Linked DNA regions of Schizosaccharomyces pombe. The protein of the gene in region 2 interacts with the protein of the main gene of each other region in a biochemical or structural test. Each region holds a gene or a part of one and is shown on either strand. Other genes may lie near its edges. The genes, in order: rpb7 and tdh1.

What was found.
Region 1: the proteins of tdh1 (region 2) and rpb7 form a complex in vitro, tested with the Schizosaccharomyces pombe proteins (one study listed by BioGRID).

Annotation. Positions count from the first base shown.
Region 1 is NC_003424.3:2,898,091-2,910,488, reverse strand, and holds rpb7 (DNA-directed RNA polymerase complex II subunit Rpb7), read right to left. Parts: upstream 8,406-12,398; 5' UTR 8,202-8,405; coding exon 7,728-8,201; exon of another isoform or gene 7,661-7,727; coding exon 7,616-7,660; 3' UTR 7,356-7,615; downstream 1-7,355. Other genes in the region: translation elongation factor 2 eft201, read left to right, coding at 260-2,788; tcb3 (tricalbin), read left to right, coding at 3,443-7,120; P-type calcium transport ATPase Cta4, read right to left, coding at 8,795-12,398.
Region 2 is NC_003423.3:2,799,958-2,816,349, reverse strand, and holds tdh1 (glyceraldehyde-3-phosphate dehydrogenase Tdh1), read right to left. Parts: upstream 8,756-16,392; 5' UTR 8,714-8,755; coding exon 7,703-8,713; 3' UTR 7,299-7,702; downstream 1-7,298. Other genes in the region: N-end-recognizing protein, UBR ubiquitin-protein ligase E3 Ubr1, read right to left, coding at 1-3,001; protein mni1, read left to right, coding at 3,196-3,221, 3,270-3,834; SPOM_SPBC32F12.12C (golgi membrane protein involved in vesicle-mediated transport), read left to right, coding at 4,623-4,693, 4,744-4,781, 5,094-5,278, 5,401-5,601; transcription factor TFIIH complex subunit Tfb5, read right to left, coding at 6,270-6,476; pgm1 (phosphoglucomutase), read right to left, coding at 12,169-13,833; CDK inhibitor Rum1, read right to left, coding at 15,069-15,761.

The DNA.
Region 1 (12,398 bases), on a different chromosome or scaffold from region 2:
CACTAAACAAAAACTTGAAATAAGAGAGAATGACTTTAAAACTCAACCTTCCTAGTCATGTAATCCCTCTCTAATTCTCAAATAGGTATTTTCTTTTAATTTAAATTTCACTTAATGCATTATTATAACGACGATTAAAATACTGCAACGCAATAAATCGCAAAAAACACAGGGTTAGGGTTTCAGACTATAATATCAATTTGACTTGGTGTGTTTGAAATTGTTTCGTCCGCCACTGACATTTAAAAATCTCTAAAAAATGGTTGCGTTCACTCCTGAAGAGGTCCGTAATTTGATGGGAAAACCATCCAATGTCCGTAACATGTCTGTGATTGCTCACGTCGATCACGGCAAGTCTACGTTGACTGATTCTTTGGTTCAAAAGGCCGGTATTATTTCTGCTGCCAAGGCTGGTGATGCTCGTTTCATGGATACTCGTGCTGACGAACAAGAGCGTGGTGTTACCATCAAGTCTACTGCCATTTCCTTGTTTGCTGAAATGACTGACGATGATATGAAGGATATGAAGGAGCCTGCTGATGGTACTGACTTCTTGGTTAACTTGATTGACTCTCCCGGTCACGTTGACTTTTCTTCTGAGGTTACTGCCGCTCTTCGTGTCACTGACGGTGCTTTGGTCGTTGTTGATACCATTGAGGGTGTCTGTGTCCAAACCGAGACTGTGCTCCGTCAAGCTTTGGGTGAACGTATTAGACCAGTTGTTGTTGTTAACAAAGTTGACCGTGCTTTGCTCGAACTTCAAATTTCTCAAGAAGAGCTTTATCAAAATTTTGCTCGTGTCGTTGAATCTGTTAACGTCGTTATTTCTACTTATTACGACAAGGTCCTTGGCGACTGCCAAGTTTTCCCTGACAAGGGTACTGTAGCTTTTGCTTCCGGTCTTCATGGTTGGGCTTTCACTGTCCGTCAATTTGCCAACCGTTATGCTAAGAAGTTTGGTATTGACCGTAACAAGATGATGCAACGTCTTTGGGGTGAAAACTACTTCAACCCTAAGACCAAGAAATGGTCCAAGTCTGCTACCGATGCTAACGGTAACTCTAACCAACGTGCTTTCAACATGTTCATCTTGGATCCCATTTATCGTATTTTCGATGCTGTTATGAACAGCCGCAAAGACGAGGTCTTCACTCTTTTGAGTAAGCTCGAGGTTACCATCAAGCCCGATGAGAAGGAGCTTGAGGGTAAGGCTCTCTTGAAGGTCGTTATGCGCAAGTTCTTGCCTGCTGCTGATGCCCTTATGGAAATGATTGTCCTTCATCTTCCTTCTCCTAAGACTGCTCAACAATATCGTGCTGAGACTTTGTATGAAGGTCCCATGGACGACGAGTGTGCTGTTGGTATCCGTAACTGTGATGCCAATGCTCCTCTTATGATCTACGTTTCTAAGATGGTTCCCACATCTGATCGTGGTCGTTTCTATGCTTTTGGTCGTGTCTTCTCCGGTACTGTCCGTTCTGGTTTGAAGGTCCGCATTCAAGGCCCTAACTATGTTCCCGGTAAGAAGGACGATCTCTTCATCAAGGCTATCCAACGTACCGTCCTTATGATGGGTTCCAGAATTGAGCCTATTGAGGATTGTCCTGCTGGTAACATTATTGGTTTGGTCGGTGTTGATCAATTTTTGGTCAAATCTGGTACTTTGACCACTTCCGAAGTTGCCCACAACATGAAGGTTATGAAGTTTTCCGTCTCCCCAGTCGTCCAAGTCGCTGTTGAGGTTAAGAACGGTAATGATTTGCCTAAACTTGTTGAAGGTCTTAAGCGTCTTTCCAAATCCGACCCTTGTGTTTTGTGTACCACCAGTGAATCTGGTGAACACATTGTTGCTGGTGCTGGTGAGCTCCACTTGGAGATTTGCTTGAAGGATTTGCAAGAAGACCATGCTGGTATCCCTCTTAAGATTTCTCCTCCCGTCGTTTCTTACCGTGAGTCCGTTAGCGAGCCCTCTAGCATGACTGCTCTCTCTAAGTCTCCCAACAAGCACAACCGTATCTTCATGACTGCTGAGCCCATGAGTGAAGAACTCTCTGTCGCCATTGAGACTGGTCACGTCAATCCTCGTGATGATTTCAAGGTTCGTGCTCGTATCATGGCTGACGAGTTTGGATGGGATGTCACTGATGCTCGTAAGATTTGGTGTTTCGGTCCTGACACCACTGGTGCCAATGTTGTTGTTGATCAAACCAAGGCTGTTGCTTACTTAAACGAAATCAAGGATTCCGTTGTTGCTGCTTTTGCCTGGGCTTCCAAGGAGGGTCCCATGTTTGAGGAGAACTTGCGTTCTTGCCGTTTCAACATTCTTGATGTTGTTTTGCACGCTGATGCTATTCACCGTGGTGGTGGTCAAATTATTCCTACTGCTCGTCGTGTCGTCTACGCTTCTACCCTTTTGGCTTCTCCCATCATCCAGGAGCCCGTTTTCTTGGTCGAAATCCAAGTTTCCGAAAACGCTATGGGTGGTATTTACTCTGTCCTTAACAAGAAGCGTGGTCATGTCTTTTCTGAGGAGCAACGTGTTGGTACTCCCTTGTACAACATCAAGGCTTACCTTCCCGTCAACGAGTCTTTCGGTTTCACTGGTGAACTTCGTCAAGCTACTGCTGGTCAAGCTTTCCCTCAATTGGTATTTGACCATTGGTCTCCCATGTCTGGTGATCCATTGGATCCTACTTCTAAACCTGGTCAAATTGTTTGCGAAGCTCGTAAGCGTAAGGGTCTTAAGGAAAATGTTCCCGACTACACTGAATATTATGACCGCCTTTAAAGTATATAGTTTTGGTTTTTACTATTTAATACAGGTTATTTAAAAACTCGATTCTTAATCAGCTGTGTTGAGGATTTTTAGCCTTGCGTTAATTTTGTAGCGTTGATTAGCTAAAAAAATGTGAATTAATAAACTTAAACCTTTATAAAATACTCGGCAATCCTGTAGATAAACGTTTCTTGTGTAAAATACACCTATAATTATGAAAATCGCAAGGAAGTCGTTTCATATTTAGTTTTCAATCCGCTTTCGACACTACTATTATTCTACAGTGTTTCAATATGAGACCGATTATATAACTTAACAAGGGCGCCCTATTTGTTATGCTAAATCCTGTTACTGAATTTAAACGCCGTTCTGTGTAGCGCCAAAAACTCCAACTTATTTTAAGGAATCTTAAGGGAAAGTAAAACTGGCCAGATATTGGTGTACTCTTGATTCATTATGACAGCCAGTTATACACTGTGACTTTAATCTCCAACATCTGTCACGAACCAAGCAGTGATAAGACCTTTTTTTTTTTGACTATTCGTTCTCTTTTGGTCTAGCAATATTTATTAATTACGGAAACTATTTATTTTTTGGTTATCGGATTAACCAGTTATTTATATAAAGCAGAAACTACACCTTATTTTGATTGTTTAAGCAGAAACAATGTCTTCGCAGGCTGAGCCCTCTAAGGGTGCTAGCAATGCCGACCCGAATGAAAAGGTTGAAAAAATGCATCTTCCTACTGATACAGCTGGTGGTGGTGTTAAGGTGAAAGTTAAGGAACAAGAAGCTTCACCATCAGACAAGAATAACTTAAACCCACAATCAGCTGGAGTTTCTGAGGTTCAAGTACAGGATGATACTGGAGCCCGTGGCTCAGGTGCTAGAGACTTAAAGGTCCCTAAACAAATGCAAGCACCCAAATCATCTGAAGAGAAATCAGACGTTGATGGAGTGCCCACTCGTCCTGTTAGCGAGAGGGAATTAAGGAAAAGGGATGCGATGCAATTCATTCAAAGGCACCAAAAGGTTAGGAACATTTTGGCACAATACTGTCCTTGGCTGACTGATGAACGTTTACAATTATGCATTGAGCTTAAAATTCTCTTTATGCAACATTTCCAGGATTCAAGGCTTGTTTTGTATACGGCAGTCATGTCATTTTTGTTTGGTTATTTGCGCTTCGGATTTTTGAGTCTTTTCATTATTATGGCTGTTTGTATCCAGTACTACCGAATTTGCGATCGACGTGTTAAAGTCAATTTCAAAGACGACTATACGAGATATCTTTCTACACGAAAATTAGAAAATGATAGCGAAACTGTCACTTGGCTAAACACCTTTTTACAACAATTTTGGTATATTTTTGAACCTTCTTTAAGTGAGAGAATAACGGAAATTACGGATCAGATTCTTTCAGAAAATGTCCCCAGCTTTATTGACTCCATGGCTCTCTCCGAATTTACTCTGGGAACCAAATCACCGAGAATGGGATTTATCCGTAGTTACCCTAAAACAGAGGAAGACACTGTTATGATGGATTTGAGATTAGCATTTAGTCCAAATGATATTAGTGACTTAACGGGTCGTGAGATTGCTGCTTGCATCAAACCTAAGATTGCTCTTGATTTGAAAATAGGAAAAAGTATTGCTTCAGCTAAAATGCCTGTTTTAATTGAGGACCTTTCCTTCACTGGTAACCTTCGTGTTAAAGTAAAGCTTATTGATAAATACCCGTATGCCAAGACTGTCGGTTTGACTTTTACCGAGAAACCTGTTTTCTCTTACATTCTTAAACCTCTCGGAGGTGATAAGTTTGGTTTTGATATTGGCAACATTCCGGGTCTTACTACGTTTATCACCGAACAGATACATAACACGTTGGGCCCAATGATGTACAGTCCCAATGTGTATGAGCTGGATATCGAATCTATGATGGGTGCCGCTGGCTTAAATACTGCTCTCGGAGCCGTAGAATTTAAGTTACGCAAGGGAGATGGTTTTAAAGACGGTTTAGGTGGAGCTGTTGATCCATATGTTGTTATAAAAAATTCAGCGGATCGTGTTATTGGTAAATCTAAAGTGGCTCACAACACTGGTTCGCCGGTATTCAACGAAACTTTTTATTCCGTTTTGAATTCGTTTTCAGAGAACCTGAATTTGGAGGTATATGATTTTAACGATATTCGAAGTGACAAACTTCTGGGCAGTGCTGTACTACCATTAGCTACTCTGGAAGCTATGCCTGTGACAAATGATGCGTTTGTAGAATTGACTTTAAAAGGCAAGACTGTTGGTCGTTTAAATTATGACATGAAATTCCATGCAGTTGTGCCTGATTCTGGCGAAGAAATTACTAAAGTCGATGGCCCTGGTGTTCTGCAATTTACTGTGCATCAATGCAAAGAGCTTAGCAATGATCCATCGAAACGACCTACCGCTTATGCCAAATTGATTATTAACAATAAAGAAGTCTATACGACCAGAAAGATTAAGAAAAACAATAATCCATCATGGGAAGAATCCTTTGGTACTCTTCTTCCAGAAGGGAAGAATGCTACTCTGGGTGTTCAAATATTCACGGAGGAATCAGAGCATCCTTTTGGGACCGCTAATGTATCTTTGCAGGACTTGTTTGCTGCTACTAAGACGGGTCTTTTATGGTTTCCATTACAACATGCTCCATCCGGTAGAGTACGTATGTCTGTTATGTGGAAACCTGCTCAGTTAAATAACGACAGTATTTCTTCGATGGCTCTTGCTACTCCCATCGGTGCAATTCGTATCCATTTACGTTCGGCGAATAATTTGCACTCTAAGATTCCTGGTAAAAAATGTGATTCTTACGCACGCATCATGTCCCACAATACGAAACAGTTTAGGACAGTGGTCATTGCTAGCAATGTAAATCCGTTTTGGGATGAATACATGTATGCACCCGTAATTACCAAACATGACATCTTCTTTTTACAAGTGATGAATTACAATTCATCTGGTGAAGACAAACTCATTGGACAGACCCCTATCAACATATCAAATTTTATCAATCAAGGCGAAAATGGTGCTTTAATGGAATACCATGACCCTCGAGAACTAACTGTACCTTTGTCCTCTACCCGGGGTATAAAGGGTAATGCAACAATAACTTTCAAATGTGACTTTTTCCCATCCGCTGTCACAACCTCGCTCAGCCCTGATGTGACACCCGCTCCTAAAGCTTCATCAACTGTTGCAACTGATAAAGTAAATATCGAAGTGCTTCCGGAAAGCCAAAAAACGCCTACAGCAGTCGACAACACTTCAACTTCTCGAGGGTCTACGTCTGTTAAAACCTCAAAACCAAAGAAGATTTCAGAACTGCTTATGCCGTCTGAAGCTGTAAATGCAGCTTTAGACTTTGAATCTGGCTTCATGGGTTTCGACATAATTTCGTATAAAATAGCTAAGCCAGCCCAAGAGTTAGCTATATTTTTAGACGATTTACCTCATCATATTTTCTTATCATCTGCCTTAAACGTCACCGGTGGTGCTACCCTGCATGAGTACGGCAATACTTTCATCAGACAACTTGAATATTCTCAATGTACTTTCAAGCTGCTAGATGGTGATAAGGAGGTTGGTAGCAAAACTATGCTGAGTCGCGATTTAATTAGTAAAGGCGCTACTAAACCTCTGGAAATTGCATTTCCTGATGGTGCTTCGATTTTGGTCGCTTTTAGGCTAACTCCTGTTCCTGTGAAACTTGAGGAAGTTGAAATGTACGAAAATATGGGAGAAATGACCGTCGATGTCATAAAAGCCACGGATCTCCCTGCCGCAGATTCCAATGGAAAGTCTGATCCTTTCGTTGTTTTCGAGTTGCAAGGAGAAGAAGTGTACCGGACTAAAACGCACAAGCGGACGTTAAATCCTACTTTTAATGAAAGTTTCGAGGTCGAACTTCCTTGCAAGCAAACCTGTAATTTTGTTGCTAATGTTTTTGATTGGGATTTTGGTAACAAGGACGATCATTTGGGCTCTTGTGTAATCGACTGCAAGCTTCTTCAACAGCAACAACAGACTAACTATGAAATTCCTTTGGATAGCAAACAAGGAGTTCTTTATCTTCGTATAACTCTGAGCCCAAAATGGGTCCTTCGTTCCAAACGCGCCGGAAATTCTTCTCTTGTCGAAGGAATTCTTGGACAGACTGCTTCGATTGTTGGTATGCCTCTTAAAGGCATTAGTACTGTAGGTAATGTTGCTGTTGATGGGGTTGCCTCGGTGGCTAACCTTACGAACAAAATGCGAAAAGGAATAAGCCGTGGTTTTAAAGGAATTCATCACGAGAAGGCAAAGTGACTTTCCATTCTGTTATTTATTAGTTCTTTATTACAATTCGGTTTTCGCATTCTGACTTATTTGAGTAATATATTATCATTATGTTAAATGCATACTTTGATTATAAGGTATTTGAATATTTTCATGGTTTTCTATTTACCGAAGAACGATAAAGACTTATGCACTCCTAATAGATAAAATGCTAGCCCAAGATTGTATTCATAAGGAAATCGTCGATTGATATTGCGATTATATACAATAATTAGGGAAATTCTATTGTTGTGTAAAGGGTATATAAAGTTAAAATTTTTTTTTAAAGATATTGCGCAGCTTTTAGCCATAACATTACCACAGAATAGAGCCAAAATTTAGATCGATAAACGTTGGTATGCGCTTTTACAACTACATGAATAAACTTTGAGACCTAGAAAGGAACTTAATAATAACAGTATACGCGATGGTTAGCATTGAATTAATGAACATGAGAAATAAAAGACAAATTAAAATTTTATCTTTTTAAAGAACGCCTAGATAATCCTCTTTCATTGTTGCAATGGCAAACTAGATATTATGTTAGTAACACGATTAATTAAGCAAAATAAATATTGTGAACTATTGGGAAACTTACAATTTCGGTTGCATCAGTCCTTGTACCGACAATCTTAAGTCTGACATTCGACCCCTTTTCAATAACTTGATCCTCACCAGAATAATTAGGAGGGTTTGCAGTAGGGTCAAACTTCATATCTGGAGGCACCAAATGAGATGAGACAAAGACATTTAATGGTCCTATATTTGCGAAGAATCCCATTTTATTTACTGTTGTAACAATTGCATCGACCACTTCCCCACGAAATGGTCTCCATAACACTGCACGATACTTTACCTCAAATTCGGCAAACCCTTGCCCAGGAACTACCCTCCCTTTATCAATATCTATAGTATTACTGTCCAAAACGCAAATTATATAGCCATATTGACCTGAGCATGTGCCTTCCACGTCCGCCAACAATTTTGCCTTTAAATAGTCCTGCATTCTAGGACCGAAGTAACTGGGATGCAGAGAAATCGTTAACGAAAGCTCTTTGAGGAAGAAAGGCATTGTATCGATAAGTTAATGCAGAAAAGCCCCAATTCAACTCGATCGGTCGATGCGTATTAAAACTGTAAAATTTTGGTTCAAAATAGGGCAAAAATGATGAACATTAAAAAAAAAAACTTTAAATGAGCTTAGCTCTTTTTATTAAATTAAATTATCCCAATTTTTCAGCGGTTTTCGCAATTGCTTGATATATGCTGAGCGTTCGAGGATTTACGAAGTCCCAGTATCATGGGATAGCGCTTATAGAAATATCCCAAATTTTATATGCCTTTCACCTTGCTACTGAGAAGGATTTTAACAAGTGAATATTATTTTATCTCTAATAAGCATCTATTACGTCCTATAAAAAGCTCACTTACACTATTCCAAATTAATAAATCAAATATGCCAAGAATGAATCAATCATTGAGTCTATGTAAAATATTCATAACAAGTAATCAAATTGAAAATGGTGATAAATATTGTATACTGACCGAAGAAAATTGACATCCTTGCCCATCAGTGAGTAATGCAATTACTCATCAGTTTGTTCAAATGAATATTTATCTAAGCTTGTACAGATAAGTAGGTGTAACCCACTTATATAATTGTTCTTAATTACGAAGAACAATTTCCTTCGGCTTGTTGTCACGGAAGTATTTTTTCATAAGCTCTTCAATAATCCAACAAGCCGCGTAATCTACAACCATTGTGGCTAACAGTTGTATCTGGAAATTATAAGCCATTTTAACTAACTGAAGTTTTGCGTTGAGTTCAGGCGAAAACTCAGTTACACCAGCAATAGCGACAAAGGCAATGCCCAAAAGGCCATAGTACATTCCTTTATTTTCACTTAAAGCTTCACGGAAAGGACGGCCCTGATAATTGATAGCAAACGTTGAGACTTGTTGAATAAGTTGAAGCAAATAAATGGCAGTATTCAACAAAGAAGGCTTGAAGGTTTCTTCTAAATCCACCTTTTCTAAAGGATCCTCATACAGATAAACGACACGAGTTATATAGATAAGGGTAACGATATGAATAGCAAACTGACCTAAAACAGAACCAATTATGTAAGTGTTAAAAATTCCAGCTTGAGGCCTTTCTTTTGAAAGAGTTTCAAGTGGACGAGCCCGTGAAACACAGTAAAAACAAACAGACATTAACATTCCCGAAATAGTGTATTGAGTATCACCAAATTTAATTCCATCCAGATGAAGTACTGACAACGAGTAAGCAGTGATCAAACAGTTGAGAGCCAAAATCTTATGCATTTGAACGAGGGCAACTAAAGTACAACGACCTTGACGCACAATGTTGGTTATCGAAGAAACTACAGCTAATTTAGAAGTAAATGGTGCAGCAACAGAAGCGTCTCCTAGCTTAAGTTTCGGTGCCTCATCATCAGAAGCGTTTGCTAAAGTGTCAAACATCTTGTTAGCCAGATTTGCCCGTCTTTCAGCAGCTTTCTCAGCTTCCGTTAATTGAACATCACTAGCTTTCTTAGTTTCCAAATCTTCCAGGACCTTATTTAAGCCTTCTTGAGTCTTTTCACGATGAGGGTTGTTAGGACCAGGAGGGAAAGCATGGCAAAGTGCAGGTGGAACAGGAGGAGTTGGAAGATTAAATCTTTTAGCAAGTTGAATTTGCTTTTCATAAACGCCCATCAACTTCTGATTACGAGCTCTCTCTTGCATTTCAAGCATATCTTCTTCCGAAGCATTTAATAAAGCTACACCAACGTGTGCTTGTTTAAGAGCACCCACATCATTGGTACCATCACCACACATAAGAGTTATATATCCATTGTGTTTCAAAGTTGAGATCATGAATTCTTTTTGAGAAGGAGAAACACGCGCATAAACCCAAGCGTGAGTAAAAATTGACATAATAACGTCCGGATTGATAATTTGAGACAAAGCACGACCGGTAATACAAAGATCATACTTTTCGTACAACGAAGCTTCCAACGATTTATGAGGATTCATGGGTAAATTGATTGTATCATCTGTGCTCTTCCACTCTAAAATCTTTTCATTCTCATGCTTAATATCCAATACGAGGGTTGGCTTTTCAACAATACCAACTTGTTCAGCTACATATACGGCGGTCAGAGGATTGTCACCAGTTATCATCATGCAACGATGCGAAGAATTGTTTAGCATTTGCACAGTTTGCCTAGCATCCTCTTTAAGAGGAGAAGTAAAAATAAGGAATCCCGCAAATACAAGGTCAGACTCAATAGATTCACGGCTCAAATCAGAAACTTGATTCTCAGGGATATAATTTTTAAAATATTTATAACCTAGGGCGAGTACTCGAGACCCTTTACGACCATAATCTTTATAAATTTTTTCATAATCCTTAGGGACCTCCCGCAACATAGTAGCAATCACTTCAGGGGCTCCTTTTACCGAAACAAAAGTTTTAAAACTTCCTCCAGACACTCTTACGTTGGAAACAGAAGACTGTCTTTTTAAAGCTGAAGAAAATTGGAAGTTTCGAATGATTTGAACTTTACCTTTATAAAAAACAGAACCTTCAGGTGCTGAAACAAAATTCTTTTTCTCAATAGACCAACCCAAGTTTTCAACCGTAGCCTTTTCCATGGGGTCACCAACGACTTTGGGAGTTTCACCTTCTTGTTCCAGCAAAACTAAGGTATGTGCCGTAGCAATTGCCAGTATCGCATCGTTAGAAGCATCGCTTAATTTTTCAAGACTATAAGGATCCTTTCTATTAACTCCAGCAATACCTTGAACAACCATATGCTCTTCAGTTAAGGTACCCGTCTTATCAAAGCAACAGATATCCAAATGACCGGAGAGTGGTATACGAAATGGCTCAGTACAATAAATATAATATTTAGAAAGAGCACCTAATGAGGCATTGACAGCCATAGAAAGCTCCATAGGGAGTTCAGAAGGGACAACAGAAGTAATAATCATAACACAATCGAGCATTAATTTGTATCTGCTACGCTCAGTTTTACTGCCGACATGCCAAACATATCCAGAGGCTGCAATAGCGAACACTAGCAAAAATAGAATAAAGTAAAGACTTTCTCGATTGTTTGCAGTGACCTTTTCCGAAGAAAATACCATGGTACGTACCAAAGAACCCTGACTTGTTTCAAATCCGGTACGAAGAACAATTGCAGGAACACCATTATCTGGAGTCTTAAGTTTGCAAAACGGCGATTGAGTTACTTGAAGAACCCTAGTTCCTCCAAACAAAACAGCGTTTTTGTCAAGCTCATCGACATCAATAACAGCTTCTTCGGGGCGCAACTCAATAGATTCCTTAACCAGAGGTGTAGATTCTCCAGAAAGCATAGCCTCATTTACTACACAAGAACCTGAAAGTAAAAGAAGATCACATGGAAGCCCACTGTCTTCCTTATTGTGAAGGACAGATACGACATCATTTGGAAGCAAATCTTCGGTAGAGATAGGGAACCAATGCTTATTGCGATAAACTTGAATTTCATAAGGTTTAATGCTCATAGTACGAAATTCGGTCAATGTACGTTGACGTTGCCATACTACTGAACATTCAAGAGCAATAATCATGAACATTGAGAAAAGAGAAAAGTACCAGTAGTCATCAAGACACCACAAAACACAGCAAAAAATTTGGAAGACAAAAAATGGAGCAACTGCGTGCTCCTTGAATAAAGTACCAAAGGTAGGAATAGGTATATCGAAGCAATTTTTACCATAACGATAAAGAAATATTTCAGATTGAATATTGGTAAGCCCTGTACTTTTTTTGAGAGTCCCAATAGTTGAAGGTTCATCCATTGGAAAAGTTATATTTGCGAAGCATCCTTTTTCTGGTTCATAGATAAACCGTTTACGTTGAAAAGAGAAGCTGTACTGAATCGTTTGTGAGTCAGGAAGAACCAACTTAGTGATTGGCTCCACACTAGATGATTCTCCTATTTTACTAGGAGTAACAAGGATATGAGTAGCTTGTTCGACCTTGTCAGTTTTTCGACAAGTCATGAGACAGTAAACCTTCGTGTTCCATTCACCAGCTAGCCAGAATAATGCATGAATAGTACCGACAGCAATGTATGTTAAATAACGAACCTCTTCAGAATAGAGTTTGTTTTGATATACATATCCAATATAGGGGTACACAAATAATGCAAAAGGCCACACATATAAATGAAAAAATGTGGGCAACTTTATATAAAGTTGCCCAGAACTTATG
Region 2 (16,392 bases):
GATCGTATGGATAAATATAAGCGTAGACGATAGTGTGCCATAAAATCCCAACAAAAGAATCGCTTTGTAATATGGGAATTGTAATGTTCGAATGCAATATCGGATGATATTCCTCATATACTACAGATTCCAAATGTTTGGAATGCTGTTTTGAATACCGTCTACGTAAAATATTCTCTGCTTCCTCACGTTGATTTCTAGAGTAATGAATATTGAATGGATCTACATAATCAAAGTATTCATCTTTTAACGTGAAGGAACCACTATCATTGATCCCCTCGGCATTCCGAAAAGTAGCGACTTTCTTGAGAGTGCTTTCAAATTGCTTGTGCTCCAATAAATGCTCACATGTCCTTTTGGTAATCTCGGAATAAGGTAAAGGACGAAAACAAAGGATATGAGCGATTCCATATTCTATTCGTCTTGTAATATCCCAATGGTCGAGGACAGCAGTATTACATACAATGGATATTAAAAGCAGCAAAAACTCCTCCATCATTATCGTGACTTGGGATACATCATAATGTTTATGAGGTACAAAAAACCGACCATACATTTGATCTTCTAATTGAAATCGAGAAATAAAAGAAGGTAAGATAGCATCAGGATCGCCATATGTTAAAGTTAATTGAAGCAACAAAACGTCTAAATCAAAAGTGTATTCATGAAAACTTAGATTTCTATAATGGTGAGCTTGATCACGTAACGTTGTACCATTCCTTATCCAAAGCTTTGCGCGCATTTGACTTAACCAAGCGCATACACGAAGTGGGTGATCCGTAACCGCAAGTAAATCTAGCTGAGTCCATAGTAATTTATAGTTGTCTCGTTCAACGTAAAATGATAAAAGGTACACTAGCAACCAGTGTAAAGGATGATGGAACGATACCGGTTGAAGAGCAATATCATACTCTATTAATTTCGAATTACCTCTTTCATCAACAGTAATTCCTGTAGTCAATGATTCAGTATTGGTCCAAGACTCATTTCTTGCCTTAGGATAAAGAATTAGGGAAATTAGGTAGTTTATAGCATTGGCTAATTTATTCGTGTTGAGCTCCATAAAGACATTTCCAACATGTCTACAGAGTTTAGCAACTTGTAAACTAACGTTCAAAACGTACATCCATGAATCATTTTCCCATTCAACATGCTGCGATACTGCTCGTGTATAGGGGCACATACCTTGAAACAGGTTAAAAAAATCGGCATATTGCTTCAAAAATTTAAGGTCTTCACGAACAATTTCAGCAACACATGGAATGCTTAACATAAATTGAATGTGATGGAAAATGTGAATATACCTACGTGAATGAAAGGCAGCCGAATCTGTTCTTATCATGGCATGCTGATCGACATAGTTCGGCGTATTAAGTTTTTTATAGGTGAAAAAAGTGTACAAAGTTGCATTAATTGTAGTCAAGAAATCATACTCTGTAACCAACAGTTTGGCAACGTCTGCCACGGTAAATATTTGCATTGAAAAAAAAATGACTGAGTGTTCAGGTTCACGGTCCAACAGAAGAAAAAGTTCTGCCAACCTTCTATAAGAAATGGCAATCCTGGCTCCCATAATTTCCTTAAATCCAGGCTGAGTGATAAAGTATCCCAAGTACAACTCCTGTAATTTGTAACGCAAGCTCTTCCAAAGTTTTAAATCGTAAAGAAAAAAATAATCAAATCTTACTCTGGAGGCATACGAAAGGACATCCGGAAGAGAATTAGAAGGATACCAATGTCTAGAATGAATAGAAGACTCGTCAGTTTCTAGCATATGACTAGAAGTGTCAGATGGACCTGACGAGTTAATGTGATCTTCATTCAAAAATATATCAGGACTGTCAATGGCCACAATTTCAGGAAGAGCAAGACTTCTAAGGGAGAGCCTAAAAGTAAGATCAGAATTATGAAGTCCGCAATTCCAAGGTCGAACAAGTTCTTTGCATATAACAGAGCTAAAATAATTTCTTTTCCCACAAATACTGCTTCCTGCTATATCAGCAAGCCATTCTAGTAAAACAGCACAAGATTCTTCTCTAAAAATGTCACGCATAGAACGAATTGAAACAGCTAGATTGATCTGGGCAAGCTTTTGACCAATTTTAAGAAGCTCTTTTATATTAGTCTCAGTAACGATGCAAGCTCTACCGATGTCATTAATAATATTTGCCATTTTCTTTCCAAAAACGTTATTCGGCAATTCTAATGCAGTAGTAATTTGTTCATAAAATTGCTTGAAGGAGTGTTTTTCATCATTCCACAGTACTAACGAATACATATTGCAAGAATCATCAATATCGCCGTATTTATTTTCACTGAGACGCGAAGTTTTCTCATCCTGCAAAATCGATTCCAAGGTGGGCATTTTTTTGAGATTTTCAGGACTACAGGAAAAAACATCCAGTACGAAGTCAAGAACACAATCAATTGTTGTTTGGATACTGTTTTCTAATTTTTCCGGAATTTCGTCTATCATATCGTTGCTAATCGTAGCATCTTCTTCATGTGAATGTATTTTGCAACTCACATCCCCAATCCATGCAGCTGCATTACCACAATCACAACAACCGCCGCTACCGGCACTAACTGTAAACGAAGTTTCATGATCCTTATGACTAGTTGCACGAAAACATTTCACGCACAGCGCTGAATTGCTATCAACACTACACGTTTTGCATCGATAGAATACTTCACCCTTTCGAAATATATGGCCACATTTTGACTCACAGGTTCCATGACGATACTCATCTCCCTCACTGTGTCCTTGAGCACGACGGAGAAGAAAGGAGGCATCGATGGTTGGTCTCTCTGGAAGCAATGTATTCCACAAGGTATGGTCATATCCGAGAAGCGCAGAAAAGACTTCATTCAGAAGGGATTTTTTAGCAGATTCTGACCATAGAAATGAATACATCAATGCATGAGACTGTAAAAATAATGAAAGCCGTCTCCGAATCAATGCGCTTCTAGGCAACGATCTGCTAGACTCGTCTTGTAACATGGCATGCTACAAATAATAACTTTTTAAATAGATAAAATAAAGAATAACATATAGAACGAGAAAGTCCTTTTAGTGTAAATACCGTAATGACAGGACTGTGTTGTTGTGAAAAGTAATTCTTAGGTAGGAATAGTATAAGTACTTCGAAAACCAAACTTGAACTTCCAGCGTGTTAGTAGAGTATATACTAATTTATGGAAACCAATGGAAGTTTTTCAGGGTATGGCTTATTAAATTTTTTATTAAGTTGACTAAAGTTTTTATTTAGAGCACGATTGGTTGATGGCAAATGGATAATTCCAGAGAGCAGGCGAAAAGATGGTAGCGTGAGGCGTGAAAGAGCTGTTAAACCAGGATATACTGCACCTGAAGATATCAAAAGATATAGACCAGGAAGAGGAAACTTCGCTTCCTTAGAGAAGCAAATGAAGAAACTGCAATTGAGTAACGATGCTTCAACTTCTAAATCGATCGATAGGCCTCCAATTTCAGAATTAGAAAAAGAAAAATTAGAAAGACCACTTTCTAACAAGAAAAAGGAGAAGAATGATCATAAAGCGGAGAGTTTAAAGCATGATTATGATAGTGTTGGCGAAAAGCGTATCTCGAAGGATTCTGTTAAACATCTGGATAAAACTTATTCTTCAATAGATTCTAAAAAAGACTTTAAGTATAATTTCCCTAAAACTCAAGCTCCAGAATGGAGAAGAGGCGCGAAACCGCTTTCTAAAACAAGTGAACCTAGTGTCTACTCAGAAAAGATGAGCAAGAGAGAAAATAAGAAATCCATAAATACCGTTGATAAAAAAACTGGATACAAGGAAAAAGAGTAACTGTCCTCTAGTGAACCACAATGATTACAGATTTGACACCCGCTGAGAAGAAACCCAAAAAATAAGCAGGAGTGCTAATGAAAAGCAAAAAAATGGAGAGCAGCTATTTTATCGTCCTTAATTAACAATCATTGAAATAATTTCATCTATTTGCTTCTGTATTCATCAGTGATATGATTTTTGTTGCGAGAACAGCATACAAAGAAGAAAATGGGCAATGATGTTTCTGCTTTATCTTTTGCAATGTGTACTCTTTGGATAATATGTAATTATTAAGGGAAAAAATAATTGCATAATGCTTTGAAAGCAATCCTTTGTTGTATTGCTGGTTAGCAGTAAGAAATGGTAGCTTAACGTTATCAAACATAATTGTGGTTTTTTTGAATGTACTATTTCAACAAATTACTTAAATAGTGATGTGAATTCTTGGAAAGGAAATTTTGTCGCTACAGTTGATTTTAAATTAAAGAAAACTTAAATTCATTAGTACTTCTAGTCTCGTATTAACTATAGAGATTGTATAACTTATTAAAAAGCTTACATATTCGGAAATATGGATGAAATGATTGTTTACAACTGGCTATTGTTTGTTTACCTAGCTAACTATAGTACATATTCGAACTGTTACTTGGGTTACCCTGACGCTGCGTGCCACTTTGTTATTAAAAAGAATAACAAATACTAATTTCGCTTCGCCAAATAACAACGAGCTAAACATCATAAACTGACATGAACTGACATCTAACCAGCATCAGAACAAAGACGATTTCTGAACTACACTTTTCAACATGTTTGAGTCTATAATAGTTGACAGAGCAAAGACAACGTTTTTGGGAGAGCTCAAAAGCTACAATTTTTCGTATGCGAAATCAGTTGCTTTAACAGCGAAATGTTACTAACTTATTGTAGTATTTATGCACAGTGGCTTGGAATTCTCTCAATTTTTCGTATGTAAAGAATTTCAATCGCGTAATTTGGTTATTCTTTTTAATGTTTGTGATATTCTCTTCTTCTTGTATTGATTGCTTTGTACTTTCTGATAGCTGTGAAGAGAGTTTATGAGCATAAAGAGTTAAGGTGTAGCAAGTGAGTGTTCAAAAGTATTTTTGGTTTGATGAGAATGTATATGTCCCTCAATTTTTTTATTTTGCAGACAATCAAGTTTATTGAATCAGATTACTTCTCATTTCACTGCACACAAATTATGGTCCATTGACATTTAACATTAAAAGGCAGATCTGCTAACCTACTACCTTCAGTTTGCATTATCCTAGGTATTGTCAACCTTTTTCACGTTACCCTTGTCGTTCTTTTCTCAGCTTTGACTATCATTGAGGGCGTTCTATTAATTTTTATTGAGCTTCCTTTCCTTTCTCGTATTTGCCCTGTATCAGACAAATTCCAGGCTTTTACAAATGCTTTTGCTAGCAATTATTACCGTGGTGTAAGTTGTTATAGTTTCTTTTAAGAAAGGCACACAGGGGAAAAAGCATGCCTCTGGATATTTTTAATTCCTTTGTTGCCTTCCTGCTGTCTTTTACATACAGTGTTTATTAACTCTTTTAGCTTGTCTATTTTATATTTTCCGTGGTAACCTTTCTCAGTTGCATCTTTATGGCTACTAGTCTTATTGCCACCGGCATTGTGCTCGCTCTTACTGGTTTATGTTACACCTTTGCCGGTATTAAAGGTCAGGCTTTTACTTCAAGTTCCACGCTTGGTGGAACAGGTATCACGACCGAAACACCTCCCAGCACTATGGTTTAGAATATGCAAAATTGATCTTTATTGATCTTTTTCCTTGTTCATTTGTTTATAGGACAAGCATGAAACTATGCCTTTTCCTTGTTGTATGTTCTTCCAGTTCCCGGTGTTGAAAAAGTTATCACGCGTATGAACTGAACTATCTTTCTAGAAACACCACCAAGTTTCAATTAGGAATGCATAAAAATATCGTTAGACAAAGAAGAACATTTCTCTTATTATACATATTAATTATATAGATAGTATAGTATATTCAAATAGTATAAACTTTCATTCAATACTAAAAATTAAATAAAGACTTGCAAGCAACTACTGAATAGCTCGGCGTAGTTAACAATATATTCAAAACTTATTTTCAAAAAATACAAAATCAGCTGGCTCCTTTCATAATTTTTGCCCATCGGTACACGAGTTTTGGGTACTGTTATGTAATTTGACACAAACGTCAAGTCATTAAAAAATAAACCAACCTTTTCACCCATATCCAAATAAAAGGTAGAATTAATTTCTTTTTTGCATTATTTTAAAATTTTTTTACAATTTAAAATTGAGAAAATGATCATAGATCGTTGACATTGAATGATCCATTAATCGTACAATATTAGGTTCGTCCATCGACTGAAACATTCAGTTCATCATCCAAAGAAAACTTTCGTCATACTAATCTCTTCTTACTCTTCAACTTGATATGTATTTTCCTCAAGGCGTCGTTCTAACTCTGCTTTCACCTGTTCTAGTCGACTTTCATTTACTAACAATCGTTCTTCATCGATCTCTTCGATAACGATACCAGGAGACTGTTCGTCCATGTTCAAAATCAATTGCTTAACGGTTGGGTCACATTCAACCAAGAGTAAGCCTTTTTGTGCGCGTGGCATTGCCTCAAATTTGGTGTCTGCCAGCAGAATCATGGCATGCTACAAGCTCCTTAAGCCACAGGTATCAAGTTACCCATGATCGTTGGATGCCGAATGTAAGAGCAAACAAGAATAAATATCATGCAAGTTTGTTGTGTTAAAGATGGTAATGAATTTGATTATTATGATTATATGCAAAAACAAATTATTTATATGAATAAAACAAGTTGAGGTATTTGAGATCAGCAAAAATTGAAAAAATGATATGACCATTTCGGAAACCTTTTGCTACCATTGCTCATTCCATCCAGCCTCATACTTTTGTCTTAACGGACATATGTATTTTTAGATTGACAATAAACATTTTCGTTTTTGTTGATTAACATGTAATCATGTGATGCGCTAGTAGCGTACACAACTAACATAGCGATGAATTGTTTGTACTTTACAGTGGGTAAAAATTTTTAAATTACAAAACCGACTTCGGTTTGAATAAAGTCTAAAGTGTGCATTGGGAGATCAACTAGTTCTCGGGATGCAGACGGAAAAACAGTAAAACAAGCTCTTCGCGGTACAAGTGAAAAAGATCAAAACGGGCGTTCATGCTTAAGTGCATCTTCATATTAAACTTAAGCTAGCGAAATGGGGGACAGTGGATGCCTCCTACCTAAATCCATCAGTAAAGTAACACCGTCCCCACAAATGCGACTCACCACCAAAGCAATAATATATAGTATAAATAAGACTTTGACATAATATCCTACAAGGAAACTGACAAAAAAAAATTCACTTAAGTTGACCAAATGAAAAAGAGATTACACAAGACTACAAAAGAAGATCATTTACAAAAGGAGACAGGCAAACTATACGTATCACAAACCAAAACGAAAAAAAGTATTTATCAAAATCATAAAATTTATTTATAAGTATTTATAAGTTCAAAAACAAACGCTCAGCCATCTCATCACTGCAACAAAATTAAAAAAAATATATGCAACAATGAATGAGAAGGAGGGTATCAAAGAACAGAGGAAATTTGTAAAAAAGTCATCCATCTATTTATTCACATAGAGTGCGCGTCCACAAAAAAAATGCGAAAATCTAAAAAAGAAAACTCCCGCACTGCAAACGACAACGACTCCTTTGTCTAACATAAAGAAAAAACGGGGAAAACAACTCCAAAAGACTTTCCTGCATTGCCTTTAAGCACCCACCCGACGTTTCTTAGCATCGGGATGATTAGCTAGTTAGTTGTCCTTGGCGGCAGTGTAGGCAACCAAGTCAACGACACGGCGGGAGTAACCCCATTCGTTATCGTACCAAGAGACGAGCTTGACGAATTGAGGAGAAAGTTGGATACCGGCAGAGGCATCGAAGATGGAGGAGTGGTTGTCACCGCAGAAGTCAGTGGAGACAACAGCGTCCTCGGTGTAACCCAACACACCCTTCATGGGGCCCTCAGAGGCAGCCTTGATGGCGGCCTTGATGTCCTCGTAGTTGGTAGGCTTGGCCAACTTGACGGTCAAGTCAACAACGGAAACATCGGGGGTAGGGACACGGAAAGCCATACCGGTAAGCTTACCGTTAAGAGCGGGAATAACCTTACCGACGGCCTTGGCGGCACCAGTGGAGGAGGGGATGATGTTGGCGCTGGCGCCACGACCACCACGCCAGTCCTTCTTGGAGGGACCGTCAACGGTCTTTTGGGTGGCAGTGGTAGCGTGGACAGTGGTCATGAGACCCTCCTCGATACCGAAGGTGTCGTTGATGACCTTGGCAAGGGGAGCCAAACAGTTGGTGGTGCAAGAAGCGTTGGAGATAACCTTCTCAGAGGGGTTGAACTTCTCCTCGTTGACACCGACAACGTACATGGGGGCGTCCTTGGAAGGAGCAGAGATGATGACACGCTTGGCACCACCCTTCAAGTGAGCAGAGGCAGTCTCTTGAGTGGTGAAGACACCGGTGGACTCGATAACGTAGTCAGCACCAGAGGTAGACCACTTGATGTCGGCGGGGTCACGCTCGTTGTGGACATCGATGGCATTGCCATCAATGACGAGCTTACCATCCTTGATCTCGACGGAGCCATCGAAGCGACCGTGGGTAGAGTCGTACTTGAACATGTAGGCCATGTATTCAAGATCGATAAAAGGATCGTTGATAGCAACGACTTGGATGGTCTTAGCGACCAAAGCGTTACGGAGGACAATACGTCCAATACGACCGAAACCGTTAATACCAACCTTAGGAATTGCCATTTTGAATCAAGTGTAAATCAATACTATGGATGAATGATCTATACAGAAGCGATGCTAGGCACCGCCTGCCTCTATTTATACCTTTCCATCCCACACAGCAGCCATCAGCCGTGGTGTGAATGGGGTAAGGGTTTCCCCCGACTATCTTTACCACAATTGCCTCGCACTCGATTCGGAACAACTAAGGAGCAAGGTGATTGGAGAAGGTGCGCGATCGTGATGTGGTGCCAACTTTCCTTGACTTTCTTTGCAAGTTGTTCCGAGATGGTCGTTGCTTCGTTGGTAATCTGCCTCGTTCCCGCTCCTGACTTTGATTGCACATTCCATGACGTCAGCCTTGTGAGGAAAGTTTTTCCGACGCCTACCTCAGCGTGATGCAAGCCTTGTCACCTGAAGTCAGGGGGAAGGAGGAATTGCTAGCACATTCCAAAGTCAAAAGGTTGACAAGGCGGTTGTCCATTGGCTACGGAAAAATCACAAGACAGGGTCCTTTCGTAGCGAGGCCAAATGCACCCTGAGTCATTTATCGCCTCTGGCCTCTTTTAATCAAGCGCCGAGCGCATTGTTACCTGCAGGAAGCCGGGTGAAAGCGGTCGAAGAGTTTCGAGAGGACGATTGCGATGGTAGGTGAGGAGGTGATGATGGCGCTTCGGTAGTAGTGGTAGAGCGGTGCGTCGTTGCTATCATGCGTACATTCAAGCAGCATCAGCAGCAGCAGTTGAGGATGACAGCGGCTGCTACTGATGCTTGAGCTACAGTCGTCAAACAGATGCAGACTGTGGGTGTGGGTGGAAAGTGGGTAGAGAGAGAAGAGATGAGTGATTGTTGGTGCGATGTCCTGAGCTTCAACGTTTGTGCATAAAAGGAATGGACGCACAGTTTGTTTATTTAGTGTGCATGCGTGCGTGTATATTTTGTTATTTGCATTTTTGTATGTATGTGTAATCGTATTTGTATGGGAGTTTACAAAAATTCAGGAATTTTGATTTTCCATACTTTACAGCGTCCAAACCTTCTCACATCTGCCAAAACATCCTTACTAATTGAATTCTCCCGTCATCTCATCAACATTCATCATCATTTCACGCTACGCCAACAGTGTGGCATATACATGCAATGCAATCCACAGGCAATTTCAACGCTAGCATTGACTTGCTCAAACATGGCATGTCGACGTACAGTGCACCACTCGTACTAATACACTGCATTGCTCCACGTAAGCTCCATGATGTGAATTGAGGAATTTACTCCACCATAGTTCTTGTCTTTTAGCGAAAAGAGACATTCGTTACGAATCTCATATTCTCCTTGTGCGTAATTTTTTGACTTGCCATTTCATTCCCAAAACCAACGAACGAGCAGGGACTCAAATGAGCATCGATTCAAACTGAGTATCGACTCGTAATAAACATTGACTCAACTCACAATCTACTTGCATTTCCAACTTTTTTTTTTCAACTTTTTTGTTTCCAACTTTCTTCTAACCTTGTACATTCCCATTTTCCATTTTCCATTATTAACACTCGGTGTTTTGCCCATTCTCTTTTTTTCCTCTTTTTTCTCTCTCGCTCCCACTCTGTTTCCTCTCTTTTCTCTACCTTCTTAACAAGGTGGCTGTTGTCAAACACTTCGTTTACATCGTCGGCATTTCGTCGTCGCTTCTATTTTTTTCTAGGCATAATGGTGCATCATAAGCAAAATTGTATCAATAACATAGTGTACGATTGTCACGTAATCGGCAAAGCGCTTCTTGGCCTTGCCTCGAAAATCCGCTCTTCTTCGTTTTGATAGGAAAGCAAAACATACACATACATATACATATACACAATACAAATAAAATATGCATTATAATGAAACAGTTTCAGGATACATCACTTGCTCCAGTCTCCAAACGTACTTGGCAATATCGCTTTACTTACAACACTCCCATTCCACCACCACCCATCTACTCTTTTACTTATTTAACCTGTATAATAGAATATCTATAATAGTATAAAGTGTAATAACCCGCTTTCCTTCCATGTCTGCTGTTTGCCTTTTTTTTTCTTCCCGCACTTTCATAACTATATACGTTCTTTTTCATCTTCTTTTTTGTAACGTTTCTTCTTTTTTCTCCTCCTTTCCATACACTTGGTTCGCAAGTACTTTTTGTTTGCGTAGATGTATTGAGTAAACTAGTCTCTACTCGCACTTTTAGTGTATACGCATCTACCCGACTTATGCGCCTTCATTTCGCCTCAGATGGTTTATTTCTTTTATTTTTTCTTATTATATTTTTCTTTTCTTTTCTTTCGATTTTTTTCTTCTCTACATACTCACTAACGCATCCTCACACTTACCTACTACTACCTACATACCCATTACCCATTGCTTTTACATCTTTAAAACCACGGTCTTTGAACACCATTCAAATTAACGTTTTAGCTTTTCTAACTCTAGCATGTTTCTTTTCCCTTAGTTTTTCCGTTTCTCGATCAATTCCTTTCTACTCTTACTCAATTTCATATCTCGATTCCGCACCGAGTAACACGTTTTTCATCAATTCCCGCTGATCCATCTTTCCACTTCAGCGAATTGTTGCAATTGCTTGCAAACAAGCATAAAAAAGTTTAAACTCTTTTTTCTAAAATGACTAGACTTTTGCCTAAAGGGCTGGTAACGCATTTTCCTCATTACTTTCCATACCCATCGTAAGACGACTCTCCAAATTCTTGACTAGCAATTGCTGGAATGTTACTTGACCGCTCCGCTGTAGTGTGTCTCTTTCCTTTTGTATGCCGCACACTCTATTGAAAATGGGTATTTGGATTGAAATTCATTCGAATGGTATAGGAATATGCATTTGTAAAAATAATTTGTATCTTAATTTTTATCGCGCGCATTCAACATTTATTTATTAATACTTTACGTTAGGACAAACGGTACTGAGCATTCCTCTTCTCATACATCATTCGGTATGCCCAACTCCATATTAAGTATCTTTTTCAACTCCTCAGATTCCTTTTCATGTAGCATAGTCATTAAGAAAATATTTATAAATGTTTTCCTTTTAAAATCTATATTCAAGTTCTCACTTGTTTTAGAAATAAACTTTTTCCGTTTAATTCCCAACCGTTCTACAAGCTAATGTTTACTTTATGATCATTTTTCCATTATGCAAACCCAATAATAAATCCCTCTATCCTACTGTCTGTCTCTCTCTCTATGCATATTTGAGTTTTAAACAATCGAGTTGGTTCATGGTAAAAATGCTTTTATTCATTTCTCCTAGTAATACAAAGTATTATTAAAAAAAAAGAAGAGAAGAAAAACCCTCAAGGGGTTTAGTAAAAAAAAATGTAATTCGTTATTGCTCATGATTTTCATGAATTCAGTGCAAATAATTCGTTAAAACGCTAGTAGTTTTTTAATTCAGCTAATAAACCTCATAAATTCAATGATAAAATATACTATCTTTAAGTAATGACAGTTGGCTCCTTACGACCAGTCAATTCCTCCAGAGCCAAGATTTCAAGAGCTGCATGAACCACTGGCTTCAATGCAACTTGAGCATCAAGATCAAACTTGCTCGAATCTGATTCGTGCTTCTCCATGTAGAGTCGTAACGTGGCTCCGCTGGATCCAGTACCGGACAAACGTGTCACAATTCTACTACCATTCTCAAATTTGATGTATAATCCTTGATGCTTGCTTTCGCTACCATCAATGGGATCATGATACTCAAAATCACCGGCTTCAGAAACGACAAAACCAGGCAAAACTGCCTCTCCAACCTTGCTCTTATCATCGGCAATGGCACGCATTCTATCCATCACCTTACCGGCAGCTTCATTTTCCAACTCTTCATAATCATAACGACTGTAGAATGTACGGCCATAAATATTGTAAAAATCTTTCTTAACATCGATCAACGTCTTGATCTTGGGGTTTTGCGCGTTCAATCCAGCAAGAATGTTCAACCAACACAAGATTCCCCAAACGCCATCCTTCTCTCGAATGTGATCACTACCGGTTCCAAAAGACTCTTCACCGCAGATGGATAAACGCTTAGCATCAAACAAGTTGCAGAAGAACTTCCAACCAGTAGGAACCTCATACACATTCTTTCCCTTATACTTGCCAACTCTGTCAATGGCGCCAGATGTGGGCATTGAACGAGCAAACCCATGAACACCTCCATCACGGAAGTATGGAATTAATTCGGCATGATGGGCAATGATGGCTACACTGTCACTAGGTGTGACGAATGCATTGGCACCATAAATCATGTTACGATCACCATCACCATCAGATGCTGCTCCCATTACAATGTTATCCCGATCAACACGAGCCACCAAACTCTTGGCGTAAGTGAGGTTAGGGTCAGGATGACCACCACCAAAGTCGGGAAGAGGTTTGCAATTCTGACAAACTGATGAAGGCATACCGAGTTCCTTACAGAAAAGAGCCTCACCGTAGGGACCAGTGATACCATGTAAAGCATCAAAGACAAATGTAAAATCGGGGTTTTTGGATAGGAAGCTGCGAATCAAATCAAAGTCAAAGATTTCTTTCATCAACTGAACATAATCCTTGACCGGGTCGATGACTTCAACCGTCAATGGGCCATATCTACGGACACCGGTCGTCGTTAAATCCAAGGGAGGAATCTTTACCATTTTGTATTCGGATATGGTTTTAGTAATGGAATAAATTTTCTCAGTAACAGATTCAGGTGCTGGTCCACCATTGCCAAGGTTATATTTAATACCGAAATCGTTCTTGGGACCACCGGCATTATGAGAAGCGGTCAAAATGATACCGCCGGTTAGCTTGTACTTCCTAATAATGTGACTAGCGGCGGGAGTAGACAGATATCCATTTGTACCAACAATGATCTTCTCAACACCATTGCCAGCAGCTATAGCAGCAATGACTTGGATGGCATGAAAGTTGAAATAACGTCCATCACCACCGACAACTAGATGGGCTCCTTTGGCAGATGGTTCAACTACATCCATCGTAGCTTGAACAAAGTTCTCAACGTAATTTGGTTGCTCAAAGACAGTAACCTTCTTGCGAAGACCTGATGTACCAGGGCGTTGGCCCTCATATGGTTTCGTTGGGATTGTTTCGATCATGTTGTGTTCCTATGAGTAAACAGCCTCGACTTATGCAAACTCTAGACTTTCAATAAAAGATAGATGATATTATTAATCGTTTCTTGTTTTGCTTCGTAAAAAGCTAAGGAGTGTTCGGATATGCCACAAAATGATTCACTAACTTTTGTGTTATTTTATATGCTCAGTATGGTAGAGGGGAGAAACACGGGTACCATGTAAATATAAGAGTTACGAATTTTTAACGAACTTCACTGTGATGTAAGTGGCTTCCTTGTTGTCATTTTGCAGTGCAAATGTAAATAAAAGTGACATTATGTAAACAAATCATCTTACCGCTCAGGTAACATAAATAAATACATTATTCATCATGCTTCATGGTGTGAAGAAAAAATGTTAGTCAAGTAGAGTCGGTTAGGCCTAATTATTACTTCAATGAACGAAACGATATTACACTATAATTTTACCCAAAGACTCCTTTCATACGCTTAGAACCAGTTTTGTTATCCATTTGTAGGATTTCAGTACCAGCTAGTAAACTTCACTATATCACCAAACCACAAATTAACTCAATGTAACAGCAATACCGTAATGTGTATAACTGTCTAAGAAGCCTAGAATAGTATTGTATATGCGGTATAAAAATACCTTTTTATTACTGGGATAAAACAATTGAATATAAAACTAGTTATTGAGAATAACAGACTATAGTTTCCAAACCAGCAAAAAATTTAGAAATCGAATAGCATTATTAACTAATCGATAAATACAACATTTCAGAATATATTCACTCTCTGAACAAAGAAAAGAAAATTGTGAAAGCCATGTAATATTAGTATAAGTCTTAAAGTAAAAGCTCAGTGGATGAAATTAGGAAATAAGTTAAACGTATAATATTTCAAAGCATGCCGTAAAAGGTTGCTAAAAAAAGTTGCAATGGCTCAGGGCAGACACGGGAGGACGATAAAAAATTAAGTTGCCAAATGGAATATGAATAGGCACAAATGGAAAGATGGGGAAATGTAATTATAGATACTCAATTAAGAAAATCGTGGTGATATTGTGGTGATATTACCATGAATGACTAACGACCAGCGTTTGTCAAAATGCATTTTCATCAAGAATAGAGAATAGGAGGTTCTGATCTACTACCAAAAGTTCAAACGAACGATTATCATGAATAAGGCAGAAGAGTATTTCGTGATTGGGCATTTATATAAACGGTATCAAACACAATTACAAAATGCGAAAAAAAGTTATCGTAATAAATTGTGCCTGTTTTCATCTTTTGTATTAGATCGTGATTTTTGTGGTGATGAATACGCAGGTAAACGCATTTGCGGTGGGGGAGCAACAAAGGAACCTGACGAGGAAGATGGAACCCTTGATTTTAACGAGAACATTTTATTCCCAATAGAATTCAGGTTTGGAGGGAGAATGCCAATTTGAGAATAGTCATTAAGGTCTACAGAGGATGTTGGGTTATCTGAACTAGAAGAAGGCGCCGAGTCAGCAAACAAGAGTTTGGGCTTAAAAGTAGATAAATCAGTTCCAGGCCTGAAGGATTTCTTGATTCTTTTCCCCCGAAAAACATAGTACAAACCATCAGAAGGAGGAGGAGTAGGCTTTCTCTTCTTTCTTGACAAAAGCTGGTTATCAGATGAACTGAGAAAAGGATTGTGTTCTCTGTCTTCTTCCATACATCTTTCTAAAGAATTACTCCGATCTTGTAGCATTAAATTTGGTAGTAATTGCTTTTTGGGAGTTTTAGCAGGTGTAGGTGGAAATGTGCTAACTTGAGGTGCTGGTAAATCGCTTTCAGGGATTTCATCTATCATAATAGAAGAATTACCTTCTAACGAAGCATCGATGACTCCTTTAAAACTCCCAGGAGACTCTGGGGTAGATGGAGTACACAACCCTCGCATAGGTGGTGTTGAAGGTTCCATAGCGAACTGACAATCCAAAAACCAGGTAAATGCAAGAAGAAATCCTTTATGTATCGAGCGGATTATCAGAAGAGCGTGTATTCAAGCTTTCCGATATGATTTAAAAAATGTATTTTTCAATGGTTTTTGGGTGTAGGAAAATTCAGCACCAGAAATGTTCACAAGTTACCTGTAGCAAACGAAAAGGTAACAATTTAATACCCACCAAGCTAGCGACTGCGCTTTGATAATTATACAATTTAAACAATATTTGTAAAATTGTTTGAAATAATATAGAAACAATTGAAATGGCTTCAATATATCAAAAGGAAGGAACAAAATGGGATTGTAGCTTGTAAGAAAGGTATTGAAATTTTCGGAGTAAACAAAAAAAAGGAATCTTTTAGAAAACGGGAATGGGAAAATGTCTATTTTAAAAAGCAAAATTTCACTTCATACCAAGAAGTAAGTGCAGCTAAAATATCAAAGAATCAACCAATCAAAAAAAGATATGTGCCAACTTTAAAATTGTAAATAGAATAATTAACAAGGAAAAATATTCTTTCTAATGTTAGAATTTAAAAACTAGTTGGTTGTTTGCTTAGACGAATTCAACTTTTTCACATAGAAATTGAATGCTCGATTTCTTATA